2 linked regions of the Anolis sagrei genome follow. The main gene of each other region encodes a partner of the protein of the gene in region 2 in a complex. Links are inferred from orthologs where the notes say so. Each region holds a gene or a part of one and is shown on either strand. Other genes may lie near its edges.

Region 1 (7,328 bases), on a different chromosome or scaffold from region 2:
CACTCATGGCTCTGGAAGGTCTCGCCTCCAGCATCTGGGGAGAAGTAAATAAATAAAATAATAAAGAAATAAAGAAATTTGGAGAAATAACAGGGCTATTTGTTTGTTTATTTATTTATCGTGTCAGTATCAAGCAGACAATTGTGTTACATTTATAACAAACCGATAAAACACAAAATTTGCAAGCTTGGTAGTTGATGAAATGTCCTTTGACCAGTCTCTGGCCCCTTGGAGTGCCTCTGGTGTTCCTATAAGAAGGTCCTCCCATCATGTGCCAGGGCTCAGGTTGCATTGCAGCAGGTGGTCAGCGGTTGGCTCTTCTCCCCACTCGCCTACACTCTTTACATTCCAGGTCAAGAGGTCTGACCTAAGCTGAAGTTTGCCCAGGCCTTGCCTAGAAACTGAATCCCCTGAGGATTCCTGGCAAATTGGCAGGTGACTCAAAGACACACAAACAGGTTGTGCCGTCCGCCCAGACGATACAAAAAGTAAAACTGCAACGTGCTTCTCTCTATGTCTGAGCGAACTGCAGGTGTCTATCTTGAGAAGCTTGAGATACTCAGCAATTGAGACTATCCCTGGTTTTAAACATCAAAAAAGGATATTTATTTACACAAAGTCCTTGAAGACTTGGCACAGTTCATCACAGTTGCAAACAGTCAATAGATGAAGCTACACAAATATTCTTTCTTTCCTATAGTTACAGAGGTAACCCTTTCTCCAGATGGCAGATAAGATCCTGGAATCTTAACACCCTCACCTTAAGCTGTTGTGGTTTAGAAAAAAACAGGCTTCTTCCCTATCTGTAACTTAAGGTCAGTCCTGGAGACAAAGCAGTCACAACTCTCTATAACTATATAACTCAATCTTCTTAATGAAGCTTATCCATCTATAATATCTCAATACACCTCAATACACAATATACTATCTATACTAACTTGGTTTAGCTTAATACTTACCTATAGAGTACTTTTTGCAATGGTTTTCCCAGAGCTAACTGCTTAGCCATCAGCACGTCCTGAAGTCTTTCCTCTAAACTGAAAAGGCAGGGGAGAATCTAAAATGGGGATCTTTCCCTGGGAGAAAAGGCGGTCCCTAAACTCAAAGAGCTGCTCTCTAGGCCAATGGTTGCAAAGAGTCCTGCAGACTCTGATACTATTCACTTTTAGGACTCTTGCAAAGCTGCAGCAGCCCTGGGAGAAAATGCAAGAGGAAGCAACCTCAAGCAACTTCAAAGTGAGGCAAATCAGGCTCCTGGGAGACGGAACACAGGTAGAATCCCACCTGGGCCCCTTTCCTCAAATACTGCAGGCAAGAGCCTCCATTGTGTGGAGGGGGGAGGGGAAGCCCTATGGACACCACAGGGTTCTTCCGTCCTGGGCCCGGTCCTGTTCAACATCTTTATTAATGACTTAGATGAAGGGTTAGAAGGCAGGTTAATCAAGTTTGCAGATGACACCAAATTGGGAGGGAAATGCAATACTCCAGAGGACAGGAGCAGGACTCAAAGGGATCTCGACAGATTAGAGAGATGATGGGCCGAAACTAACAACATGAAGTTCAACAGTGACAAATGCAAAATACTCCACTTTGGCAGAAAAAAACGAAATGCAAAGAGACAGAATGGGGGACAATGAGGCCTGGCTTGAGAGTTGAACAAGTTGAACATGAGCCAACAATGTGATGTGGCGGCAAAAAAAGCCAATGGGATGTTGGCCTGCATCAATAGGAGCCTAGTGCCTAGATCTAGGGAAGTCCTGCTCCCCATGCTCTATTCTGCCTTGGTTAGACCACGTTACCTGGAATATTGTGTCCAATTCTGGGCACCACAATTCAAGAGAGATATTGACAAGCTGGAATGTGTCCAGAGGAGGGTGACTCAAATGATCAAGGGTCTGGAGAACAAGCCCTATGAGGAGCGGCTTAAGGAGCTCGCATGTTTAGCCTGAAGAAAAGAAGGATGAGAGGAGATATGATAGCCATGTATAAATATGTGAGAGGAAGCCACAGGGAGGAGGAGGGAGCACGCTTGTTTTCTGCTTCCTTGGAGACTAGGACACAATGGAACAATGGCTTCAAACTAGAAGAAAGGAGATTCCACCTGAACATGAGGAAGAACTTCCTGACTGTGAGAGCCGTTCAGAAGTGGAACTCTCTGCCCCGGAGTGTGGTGGAAGCTCTTTCTTTGGAGGTTTTTAAGCAGAGGCTGGATGGCCATCTGTCAGGGGTGCTTTGAATGCAATATTCCTGCTTCTTGGCAGAATGGGTTTGGACTGGATGGTGGCCCAGGAGTTCTCTTCCAACTCGAGGATTCTAGGCTTCTATCATTCTATGATTCTATGACTTCATGAGGTTGCCACCCATGGAGACGTGCCTTGGATGCACACACAAGCAAGGATTGCCATTGCCCCGATTCCTATCACCCAGACACCATTAATTAGAGCAATCAGGCAATTAATTATGACCCCGTTCATCCCACGGGAGGCCAGAAGGGAGATCCACACCCTTGGCAGCGCTGATCCCAAGCTCAGGGGCGTCTTCAACACCAGCGGCTCCCAGCCTTTGTTTGACCCGGGACCAGTCTCTCCAGCATCAGGACCAAAAGGGTTTTGGTCAACTTTCGATTCGGTTTCATTATTTGAGGTATTAATTCAGAAAATTGCATTAGATGGACCACCTCAGCTCTAGTTTGTGATAGAGAACATCTGCCGCCCAGTAATTGCCATCTGCTCGTCCACAGAAACCCATCTGTAATCCGCCTTGGCACTAAAAGAGGGGTTTGCAAGACCAGTTGCTCTCACTGCAACCGTGTAGTAACGGTGAGGACTGTATTTTAGTTCTTGAAGACCGTACCTGGTGTCCAAGTTTGGTGTCAGTAGTTGCCACCTGCTTGCCCACAGGAAACCATGTTGAATAAGCCTTGGCACTAGAATCGTAGAGTTGGAAGAGACCTCCTGGGCCATCATCCAGCCCAACCCCACTCTGCCAAGAAGCAGGAAAATCCCATTCAAAGCACCCCTGACAGATACCCATCCAGCCTCTGTTCAAAAGCCTCCAAAGAAGGAGCCTCTACCACACTCCCTCCGGGGAAGGCAGAGAGTTCCACTGCTGAACGGCTCTCAGACGAGGGTTTGGCCAGACCAGTTGCTCTTGTTGCAACTATTGTGATATTTTAGTTCTTGTGGACCACAGCTGGCCCACGGAGCACAGGTTGGGAACCAGTCTTTCTCAACTGGTGGGTCCCTCCCTCCCCAGGAACTTTGACCTACAACTCCCAGAAATCCCAGCCAGCTGACCAGTTGTGAGGCTTTCTGGGAGTGGAAGGCCAAACCACCTGGGAAAATCTACATCAGGGGTCCTCAAACTAAGGCCCAAGGGCCAGATACAGCCCTCCAAGGTCATTTACCTGACCTTTGCTCAGGGTCAACCTAAGTCTGAAATGACTCGAAAGCTCACAACCACCACCACCACCACAATCCTGTCTCATCAGCACTCCAAATAAGAGATGTGCCGCTGCGTGCATAGGAATTCATTCATGCTTTTTTCAAATTATAATCTGGCCCTCCAAGAGTTTGAGGGACTTGTGATCTGGCCCTCTGTTTTTAGGAAGTTGGAGGGGTGGGTTTTCTCCAAGGGAAACAACCAGGTTCGTTATTGAGATGTATTTACAGGCATGCTGTTGTTGTTGTTGCTGTTCCGCCTCGTCCTCCTCTCTCAGAAGAGACTGGAAGCAGGCCACCAGGCTACACAATAACAACAACAACAACTAAGTTCTTGTGGTTTTTTTCCGGGCTATATGGCCATGTTCTGGAGGTAATTTTTCTCCTGACGTTTCGCCTGCATCTATGGCAAGCATCCTCAGAGGGAGTGAGGTCTGTTGGAACTAGGAAAAGGGGTTTATATATTGTCAAAGGCTTTCATGGCTGGAATCACTAGGTTCTTGTAGGTTTTTTCGGGCTATAGGGCCATGTTCTAGAGGCATTCTCTCCTGACATTTCTCCTGCATCTATGGCAAGCATCCTCAGAGGGAGTTAGGTCTGTTGGAAGTAGGAAAACAGGGGTTTATATATCTGTGGAATGACCAGGGTGGGACAAAGGACTCTTGTCTGCTGGAGCCAGGAAGGAATGTCTCAACTGAGCACCTTGATTAGCATTGGATGGCCTGGCTGTGCCTGGAGCAAACTCTTCTTGAAAGGTAACAACAATAACCTTCCTCCCTCCCTGCCTCCCTCCCTGAGGGTTCCAAAGTGCGCGCGCATCCGGGGGAAGGCAGTTCTGGCCACGCCCCCTGTGGTGGTCAGCTGACCGAGGCGCTCCCGCCCCCTCCCTCCCTCCCCTTGGGGAGAGTCACGTGAGGCTCCCGGGAAGACCCAGAAGCCGGAGGGCAGCCGAGCCAGGGAGAAGCAGGACGGAGTGAGTTCCCCATTGAGGGTCCTGGGGAGGGGAGGGAATCCCCCCCTTTGGGTTTGGGGTCCTGGGAGGGAGCTCAGCATAGAAAGAGGGAAGCAGGAGGGGTCCCTCTCTCTCTCTCTCTTGGGGGGGGGGTCCCCAGAAGAGCCCCCTTCCCCAGCCCCTCCCTCCCTTCCCCAGCCCACCCCCCCCCCCTTCTGGGTCCCCTGGCCTTGGAAGGCAGTGGGGGGAGGGTGTCCCCATTGAGGGTCCTGGGAGGGGAGGGGGGCTCAGCATAGGGGGGAAGCAGAAGGGATCTCTCTCTCTCTGAATGGGGAAGGGTCCCCAGAAGACCCCACCGCGGCCCCCTCCCCTCCCCCACCCAAGCCGAGTTGGGGGAGCCCCCCCAGTTATCCCCCAGCCCACCCCACCCCCACTCCACCCCCCTTCTGGGCTCCCTGGCCTTGGGAGCAGCCCCTTCCCCAGAGACTGGTGGGCTCCCTGCCTGCCTCCCACCCCTTGGGCCCCTCCTCTGGGCCCCTGCCTTCCAGCAGAGAGAGAATTGGGGGGGGGGCACCTCCATGAAATCCATGAAAGAGTCCTTGGGGTCCGCATGGGAGGGAGGGAGGGGGGAGGCCTCGGCCAAAAAGGCCCACGGGACGTTGTCCTGCACCCAGAGGAGCCTCAGATCTGGATCCCAGGAAGTCCTGCTTTGGCCAGACCACTTGACCGGTCCTCCCCCAGTCAGTCTCCCATTCCAGGCACCAACACTGAAGGGAGAGGGGGACCCTCCTCAGCTGGAATGCTGTGTCCAGAGGGAGAGGGAGACCCCAAGGAGGACCCAGGGGGGTCTAGAGAGGAAGCCCCATGAGGAGCGGCTCAAAGAGCAGCTGGGCGTGTTGAGCCTGCAGAAGAGAGAGAAGACAGAGAGGAGACAGGATGAAGGCCGGGGATCAAGAGGAGGAGAGAACAGGATTCCTCTCTGATGCCCTGGAGAGAGACTACGATGCCATGGAGGAATGGCCTCAAATGACAGGAAAGGAAGAACTTGAGGAAGAACTTCCTGACTAGGAGAGAGAGCTGTTCAGCAGTGGAACTCTCTGCTCCGGAGGAAGTGTAGTGGAGGCTCCTTCTTTGGGGCTTTGAAGCAGAGGCTGGGTGGCCATCTGTCGAGGGTGCTTTGAAGGTGTTTTCCCTGCTTCTTGGCAGAATGGGGTTGGACTGGATGATGGCTCACCAGGTCTCTTACAACTCTAGGATTCTATGTTCAGCAGTGGAACTCTCTGCCCCAAAGTGTGGTGGAGGCCCCTTCTGTGGAGGCTTTGAAGCAGAGGCTGGTTGGCCATCTGTTGGGGGTGCTTTGAAGGTGGTTTCCCTGCTTCTTGTCAGAATGGGGCTGGACTGGATGGCCCACCAGGTCTCGTCCAGCTTGAGGATTCCTCCTGGGGTGGCTTTGGCCAGGTCTGGGCAGCAGGGGAGTGATGATTCCAGGTGGAGACCAAAACAGAAGAGAGCGTGGCTTGGACTTAATAATAATAATAATAATAATAATAATAATAACAATAATAATAACAACAACAACAACAACACTTTATTTATACCCCCGCTACCACCATTTCCCCAAGGGGTTTGTTGCGGCTTACATGAGGCCAAGCCCAAACACAACAATACAAGTAATTAAAATAAAAACATAAACAGTAAAGATATGACATTATCAATAAGACAACATACAATTAAAAACAGTGGGAAGGCCAAATGGATAATTAAAATTGGAAATAGTGCAGTCTAGGATCCCATGGGCCTTTGGAGGTGCTGCAGCGCCACGCTCTCTGCTCACCCTCTGCTTGTGGTCCCTTTCTGTGTCCCCTCCCTTCCTTCCTTCCTTCCTTCCTTCCTTCCTTCCTTCCTTCTCTCCTTCGCAGGCGATGAGTCCCCTGTTTGCGCTGCTGCTGCCGGCGGCATTGCTGCTGTCCCTTGGGGCCAGGGCGGCTCCAAAAGGGCACGAGGTCACCTACCTGCCGGGCCTGGCCAAGCAGCCCTCCTTCCGGCACTTCTCCGGGTACCTGGACGTGGACAAGGACAAGCACCACCACTACTGGTCAGCGCTGGGAAGGGGAAGGCAATGTGGGGGGGGGGGTTGTGACTGGAAGGATTGGGTGGCCTTTGGGGGTCTCTTCCGACTTTGACATGGCATGGAAGGGGAGGAGAGGCACCTCTGGCCACCGCTTACCTGCCCAAGACTTTGGAGGCATATTTGGCATCTCAGATACAGTTAAGTGCAGCATAGACAGGGCTATCTATGTTTATTTATTTATCGTGTCAGGAGCAACCAGACAATTGTATTACATTTCTAACAGAACAAAACAAACAGACAGACAAAACACAAAATTTGCAAGCTTGGTAGTTGATTAGATGTCCTTTGACCAGTGTCTGGCCACTTGGAGTGCTTCTGGTGTTGCCGCAAGGAGGTCCTCCCTGGTGCATCATGTGATGGGGCTCAGGGTGCATTGCAGCAGGTGGTCAGTGGGTTGCTCTTCTCCACACTCACATGTCGAGGATTCCACTTTGTGGCCCCATTGCTTGAGGTTGGCTCTGCATCTTGTAGTGCCACAGCACAGTCTGTTCAGCGCCTTCCAAGTCACTTCCAGTCTTCTGTGTGCCATGGGGGAGTCTCTTCTTTGGGATCAGCCATTGGTTGAGGTTCTGAGTTTGAGCCTGCCACTTTTGGACTCTCGCTTGCTGAGGCTATCTATGTGAACCTACAGTAGGGAATGGGAGAGAAAGGAAGGGACCACCAAGCCCTCCTCAGAGATGGCCAGGCTGATGGGGGCTTCTGGGAGCTGAACTCCAAAACACCCCAAGGACCAACCGTTCAACCACTTTAGATGAATGTCAATACAGGTAGAGAGGAGTTATGTAGTTATATGGTTATATAGTAC
Region 2 (7,406 bases):
TTTAGCCTGAAGAAGAGAAGGCTGAGAGGAGGCATGACAGCCATGTATAAATATGTGAGAGGAAGTCATAGGGAGGAAGGAGAAAACTTGTTTTCTGCTTCCCTGGAGACTAGGACACAGAACAATGGCTTCAAACTACAAAAAAGGAGATTCTATCTGAACATTAGGAAGAACTTCCTGATTGTGAGAGCCGTACAGCAGTGGAACTCTCTGCCCCGGAGTGTGGTTGAGACTCCTTCTTTGGAAGCTATTAAACAGAGGCTGGAGGGCCATCTGTCAGGGGTGCTTTGAATGCAATTTTCCTGCTTCTTGGCAGGGGGTTAGACTGGATGACCATTGAGGTCTCTTCCAACTCTGATTCTATCATTTTATGATATTAAATGGAATTGGTTAATGTGAGTTTTCCAGGCTATATGACCATGTTCCAGAAGCATTCTCTCCTGACGTTTCTCCCACATCTATGGCAGGCATTCTCAAAAGTTGTCGGGTCTGTTAGAAACTAGGCAAGTGGGTTTATTATATATCTGTGGAATGTTCCGGGTGGGAGAAAGAATTCTTGTCTGCCTGAGGAAAGTGTGAATGTTGCAATTGGCTACCTTGATTATAACTGAATAGCCTTGCAGCTTCAATGCCTGGCTGCTTCCTGCCTCCCAACAAATGATTCCCCCAGGCAGGAAGCAGCCAGGCGTTGAAGTTTCAAGGCTATTCAATGCTAATCAAGCTAGCCAACTGCAACATTCACACTTGCCTCAAATAGACAAGAGTTCTTTCTCCCACCCTGGACATTTCACAGATATATAAACCTCATTACCTCATTTCCTACAGACCTCACAACCATTGAGGATGCCTGCCATAGATGTGGGAGAAACATCAGGAGAGAATGCTTCTGGAACATGGCCATACAGCTTGGAAAACGCACAGCAAGCCAGTGATTCTGGCCATGAAAACCTTTAACAACACATTAAAGAACCATATAATGCACTTCAATGCCAGGCAAACTGCATTATATATGGTCAGTATAGAAGTAGCATTAGCAAAGCAAACTTGACTTTTGAGCACTTCCTAAAAACCAAGATGCAAAACAAAACAAAAAGCAGGAAGGGGAAGGAAAAAGGGGAAACACACTCCTATGGTGCTGCCCTTTGTGTCCAGCCACATGACCCTCATTCTCCCACATGACACGTGTCTTTTGGGGCACATGAGGATGCACAGAAACAAGGATAGCCGTGTGTGGCGTTGTCTAACCTCCCATTACGAAGCTTTCTTCAAAAGTCTCTCAGCAGCTTAGACTCCAAATCAAGCATGGGCCAAATTGGGCACTCCAGGTGTTTTGGACTCCAACTCCCACCATTCCTAACAGCCTCAGGCCCTTTCCTATTCCCCCTCAGCTGCTTAAGCGGCTGAGGGGGAAAAGGAAGGGCCTGAGGCTGTTAGGAATGGTGAGAGTTGGAGTCCAAAACACTTGAAGGGTCCAAGTTGGCCCCTGCCTGCTCTAATTACTTCCCTATAACGCGCCACGTCTACACGGTGGAATTAATGCACTTTGACACCACTTTGATCGCCATGACTGGGTGCCATGGGGAGTTTGAGGAGACACCAGCACTCATGGCAGAGAGGGTAACAAGACCTTGCAAAGCCGCAATTCGTGCGATTCCATTGCACTTGCTAGTAGTATCAAACTGCGTCAATTCGACTGTGTAGATCAGTGTTTCTCAACCTGGGGGGAGCAAGGAGGTGTCAGAGGGGTCGCCAAAGACCATCAGAAAACACAGTATTTTTCTGTTGTTTGTGGGGGTTCTGCGTGGGAAGCTTGGCCCAATTTTCTCATTGGTGGGGTTCAGAATGCTCTGTGATTGTAGGCGAACTATAAATCCCAGCAACTACAACTCCCAAATGTCAAGCTCTATTTCCCCCAAATTCCACCACTGTCCACATTTGGTCATATTGAGTATTTGTGCCAATATTTGGTCCAGATCCATAATTGTTTGAGCCCACAGTGCTCTCTGGAGATTGGTGAACTATAACTCCCAAACTCAATGTCAATGCCCATTGAACCCTTCCAGTATTTTCTGTAGGTCATATACACAGAAAATACTGGAGGTTGGTTCAATTCCATCATTGGTGGAATTGGTTCAATTCCAAGGTTGGTTCAATTCCATCATTGGTGGAATTCAGAATGCTCTGTGATTGTATGTGAACTACAAATCCCAGCAACTACAACTCCCAAATGTCAAGCTCTACTTTCCCCCAAATTCCACCACTGTCCACATTTGGTCATATTGAGTATTTGTGCCAATATCTGATCCAGATCCGTAACTGTTTGAGCCCACAGTGCTCTCTGGAGATTGGTGAACTATAACTCCCAAACTCAAGGTCAATGCCCACTGAACCCTTCCAGTATTTTCTGTAGGTCATGTGTGCCAAGGTTGGTTCAATTCCATCATTGGTGGAGTTCAGAATGCACTTTGATTATAGACAAACTATAAATCCCAGAAACTACAACTCCCAAGTGACAAAATCAATCTCCCGAACCTCACGTATCGAGTATTTGGTCCCATGTAAGCCACTCCGAGTCCCCATCGGGGAGATGGTAGTGGGGTAGAAATAAAGTTTATTTATTTATTTATTTATTATTATTATTAGTGCCCAGTTTGGTCCAGTGAATGAAAATACATTCTGCATGTCTGATATGTAGATTACAATACAGAACAGTAGCCAAATTACAGTGATAAGGTAGCAATGAAAGTAATGTTATGGTTGGGGGTCACCCCAACATGAGGAACTGGATTAAGGGGTGGCAGCACTAGGAAGGTTGAGAAACACTGGTGGAGATGCAGCCTGGGCATCTCCTTCTTTGCTGGGATTGGAAAGGGAGGGAATCAAACAGAAATAAGGCTCAGTCGTGGGAGAAAGGAGGGACGGCAAAGCGACTTACAGAAGATGATGATGATGCCAAAGCCGGGCAAAGGAGAGGGAGCAGGAAGAGGGCGAACATCTCAAGGCGGCTGGAAAGGAAACTAGAAGCCGCTTTCTCTTTGGGAGAGCTAGCCCACGCCTCAGCCGCATGACTCGGGAGTCAGCTGACCCGAGTGGGAAGGAGGGGAGCCTCCCTCCCACGCCATTGGGCGCCCTCTCCCCTCCTTGGAGGAGGCCAAGAGGAAGTACAGGCTATCCTTTCCCCACCTGATACTCCACTCCATGAGCTGTCTCTGCCGGCAGGGACATTCAACAGAAGAGGGCAGGAGACTCAGTCTGGGGCTTGTTGCAAATGAAGAAAATGTTACATTTTTAACCCGAGAGAAGAGTTCTTTAGGAAATTCTAGATCTTCCAGCACAACTCTATGGCCAATGTAAACTGGAAGTGAACACAAAATCTACCTTCTATCTATATAAATAAAAATATAATGTTAGTTCATGCTACCATCAGAACTCAAAAACCACTGGGGGAATTGACACCAAATTTGGACACAAGACACCCAACAGTCCAATTTATGTCCTCCACTCAAAAAAATTGATTTTGTCTTTTGGGAATTGTTGTTGCTGAGATTTATAGTTTACCTACAATCAAAGAGCATTCTGAACTCCACCAATGAAGGAATTGGGCCAAACTTAGCACACAGGGCTCCCATGACCAACAGAAAAAACTGGAAGGGTTTGATGGACATTGACCTTGAGTTTGGGACTTATAGTTCACCCACATCCAGAGAGCACTGTGGACTCAAACAATGATGGATCTGGACCAAACTTGGCATGAATATTCCGTATGCCCAAATATGAATACAGATGGAGTTTAAGGGAAATAGACCTTGACATTTGGGAGCTGTAGTTGCTGGGATTTATAGTTCACCTACAATCAAAGAGCATTCTGAACTCCACCAATGATGGAATTCAACCAAACATGGCATACAGGACTTCCATGACCTACAGAACACACTGGAAGGGTTTGGTGGGCATTGACCTTGCGTTTGGGAGTTGTAGTTCACCTACATCCAGAGAGCACTGTGGACTCAATGATGGATTTGGACCAAACTTGACACAAAAATTCCATATGCCCAAATATGAACACAGATGGAGTTTGGAGGAAATAGACCTTGACATTTGGGATTTGTAGTTACTGGGATTTATAGTTCACTACAATTAAAGAGCATTCTGAAACCCACAAACGACAGAAATTGGGCAAACTTCCCACACAGAACCCCAATGACCAACAGAAAATACTTAAGGCCATCCAGTCCAACTCTCTTCACCAGGGCAAGAAAACGTAATCAAAGCCCTCCTGACAAAGAACCATCCAGTCATAAATATAGATAGATAGATATGATTCTCACACACACACACACAGATATAGTATCATAGATTTGGTTTCTCATATATGTAATTTCTTTATGCTTGTTGTGGGTAAACAGTATTTCTTGTTGTTTCTTTGTCAGTGTTGATGTGGAGATTGTCTGTTTTGCCTACTCTAGTACATGCAACATATAATTGTCCTCCTTTAGGGGTCCCTCCTCAAATCTATGATACCATATGTCATATACATGTGTGTGTGAATCATATCTATCTGTCTATATCTATCTATGGCTAGATAGCTGTTTGTCAGGAGGGCTTTGGTTATGTTTTCTCGCCCTTGTGAAGGGAGATGGACTGGATGGACTATAGGCAGCATTTCTCAACCTGGGAGTTGGGTCCCTTGCAGAGGTCTTAAGGTGTGTCAGAGGGGTCACCAAAACTATCAGAAAACACATTATTTTCTGTTGGTTATGGGGGTTCTGTGTGGAAAGTTTGGTTCAATTCTATTACTGATTGTTGGTGAACTATAAATCCCAGCAACTACAACTCCCAAATGTCAAGGTCTATTTTCCCCAAACTCCTTCTGTGTTCATATTTGGGCATATGGAGTATTAGTGCCAAGTTTGGTCCAGATCAATCATTGTTTGTGTCAACAGTGTTCTCTGGGTATAGGTAAACTATAACTCTAAAACTCAAGGTCAATGCCCACCAAACCCTTCTACTGTTTTCTGTTGGCTTTGGAAGTCCTGTGTGCCAAGGTTAGTGCAATTCCATCATTGGTGGAGTTCAGAATGCTCTTTGATTGTAGGTGAAGTATAAATCCCAGCAACTACAACTCCCAAATGACAAAATCCATTTTTGAGTGATGGTCACTCCTTGGGTTAGTAGGTATCTTTTGTCCAAATTTGGTGGCAATTCGTCCAGTGGTTTTTAAGTTATGTTAATCCCACAAACAAACATTACATTTTTATTTATATAGATGCTCTGTTCACTTTGAGTGACATCATAACTCTTAGTATTTACCGATTCAATCAATGAATCTGCAAATGCCTGATTCCAAAGCCAGGATTTCAGTTTCTTGCTGAAGGTCAGGAGGGAGGGGACAGACCTAACCTCATTGGGGAGAGAGTTCCATAGCCGGGGGGCCACAGCAGAGAAGGCCCTGTCTCTCGTCCCCACCAAGCATGACTGCAAAGGTGGTGGGACATAGAGCAGGGCCTCTCCGGAAGATCTTAAAGTCCTTGATGGTTTATAGGGGAAGATACGTTCAGACAGGTAAACTGGGTCGGAACTGTGTAGGTTTTATAGGTTAAAACCAGCACTTTGAATTGTGCTCAGAAGTTAATCGGCAGCCAGTGGAGCCGGTGTAACAGGGGAGTTGTGCCTTTACCCAACCTGGCTGCCAAGCGTTGGGCTAGTTGGAGCTTCAAGGCAGTCTTCAGCGGCAACTCCACGTAGAGTGCATTGCAGTAATCTATCCGGGATGTAACCAGAGCGTGGACCACTGTGGCCAAGTCAGACTTCCCAAGATACTGGTGCAGCTGGCACATAAGTTTTAACTGTGCAAAAGCTCCCCTGGCCACAGCCGAAACCTGGGGTTCCAGGCTCAGCGATGAGTCCAGGATCACTCCCAAGCTGCGACCCTAGGAAGGCAAAGCAGCCCAACAGGAGACCCAAGGGGCACCTCTCCCTTGAGCCCAGACACTTTGGTTTTGCAGTCACATCCCTCCAAACTACCCTTGTTACTGCAGGCACATTCCTCAGACGTTTCTTTGAAATTTCACCAAAGCCAAGATCATTTTGCCTGCCCAGAGTTGGCATGAACCTGCAGAAAGTTTGAACCCTGTGGTACTCTATGGGATATTGGCATGAGTTGGGTTTCTCTTTTGTTCTGCTTTAAATAAAATGTGAGTCTTTTGGGACGTGTTGCTGTAATGCAAGTGTAAAGGATGAAAATTAGGCCAAAAAAAATGCCTACAGCACCCGGTATTCCCAGGCGGTCTCCCATCCAAGTACTAACCAGGCCCGACCCTGCTTAGCTTCCGAGATCAGACGAGATCGGGCGTGTTCAGGGTGGTATGGCCGTAGGCAGACGCTAAGCTTCCTTTTCCCCTCTTCAATCCCAGGCTGCTCCGTCACCGTGATGCAAGACAATGTTTCCTATTGGTTACTGTCACCAAAGCCCGCCCTCCTCAGAAACAATCCCTACAAGCCTACAGGCAGCCCAACCTATCTGTCTCCATTCTTTTGGCTTAGGCCCTCCCACCTCCCTGCCCTTTCCATCACTCAGGCCTTTCAAACTCAACACTCAGCTACTGCTTTGCATTCAAGCTCTGCCTCTCCCAGGCTGCCTGCGCATGCGTGGTAAGGAAGAAATAGCCAATCACTGGGATGAGTTTTCCGGGCTGTGTGGCCATGCTCCAGAAACATTATCTCCTGACGTTTCTCCCACATCTAAGGCAGGAATCATCAGAGGTCGGGAGGTATATTGGAAACTAGGCAAATTATGTTTATATATCTCTGGAATGTGCCGGGTGGGAGAAAGAACTCTTGTCTGTTGGAAGCAAGTGTGAATGTTGTAATTAACCATCTTGATTAGCATTTGGTGGTCTTACAGCTTCCAGTCGTGGCAGATTGCACCCTGGGGGAATCCTTTTTTGGAGGTGTTAGCTGGCCCTGATTGTTTCATGTCTGGAATTCCCTTGTTTTCTGAGTGTTCTCTATTTACTCTCCTGTTTTAGATGGGTTTTTTTAAAAAAAACTGGTAGACAGATTTCTTTTTCATTTTCATGGTTTCTTCCTTTTTGTGGAAATTGTCCACATGCTTGTGGATTTCAATGGCTTCTTTGTGTAGTCTGACATGGGGATTGTTAGAATGGTCCAGCATTTCTGTGTTCTAGTATAGTATGCCGTGTCCAAGTTGGTTCAAGTGTTTTACTATGGCTGACTTCTCTGGTTGAGTTGACCATCAAATACTAATCAGGTGATTAATTACACCATTCACATTTGCCTCCAACAGACAGGAGTTCTTTCTCCCACGCGGGACCTTTCACGGATATATAAACCTCCCTTGCCTTGTTTCCAATATACTGTACCTCACAATCTCTTGAGGATGCCTG

Evidence for each region. Proteins that work in one complex are often made in the same cells at the same time.
Region 1: the proteins of GLB1 (region 2) and CTSA are in contact, whole or in part, in a cryo-EM structure (PDB 7KDV), measured with the Mus musculus proteins. The link is inferred for Anolis sagrei from reciprocal best matches to the Homo sapiens genes GLB1 and CTSA. Residues at the interface, in NP_033882.1 of Mus musculus: Tyr198, Asp199, Arg202, His206, Leu229, Thr233, Leu234, Gln235, Asp236, Leu237, Lys258, Phe259, Glu260; in NP_001033581.1 of Mus musculus: Glu29, Asp31, Ala37, Lys38, Gln39, Pro40, Ser41, Phe42, Arg43, Tyr107.

The regions. Positions count from the first base shown.
Region 1 is NC_090024.1:248,826,457-248,833,784, reverse strand, and holds the start of CTSA (lysosomal protective protein), read left to right. Parts: upstream 1-4,315; 5' UTR 4,316-4,413; intron 4,414-6,311; 5' UTR 6,312-6,314; coding exon 6,315-6,487; intron 6,488-7,328. UniProt on the Homo sapiens protein: Protective protein appears to be essential for both the activity of beta-galactosidase and neuraminidase, it associates with these enzymes and exerts a protective function necessary for their stability and activity.
Region 2 is NC_090026.1:75,373,995-75,381,400, reverse strand, and holds the start of GLB1 (beta-galactosidase), read right to left. Parts: upstream 3,019-7,406; 5' UTR 2,996-3,018; coding exon 2,936-2,995; intron 1-2,935.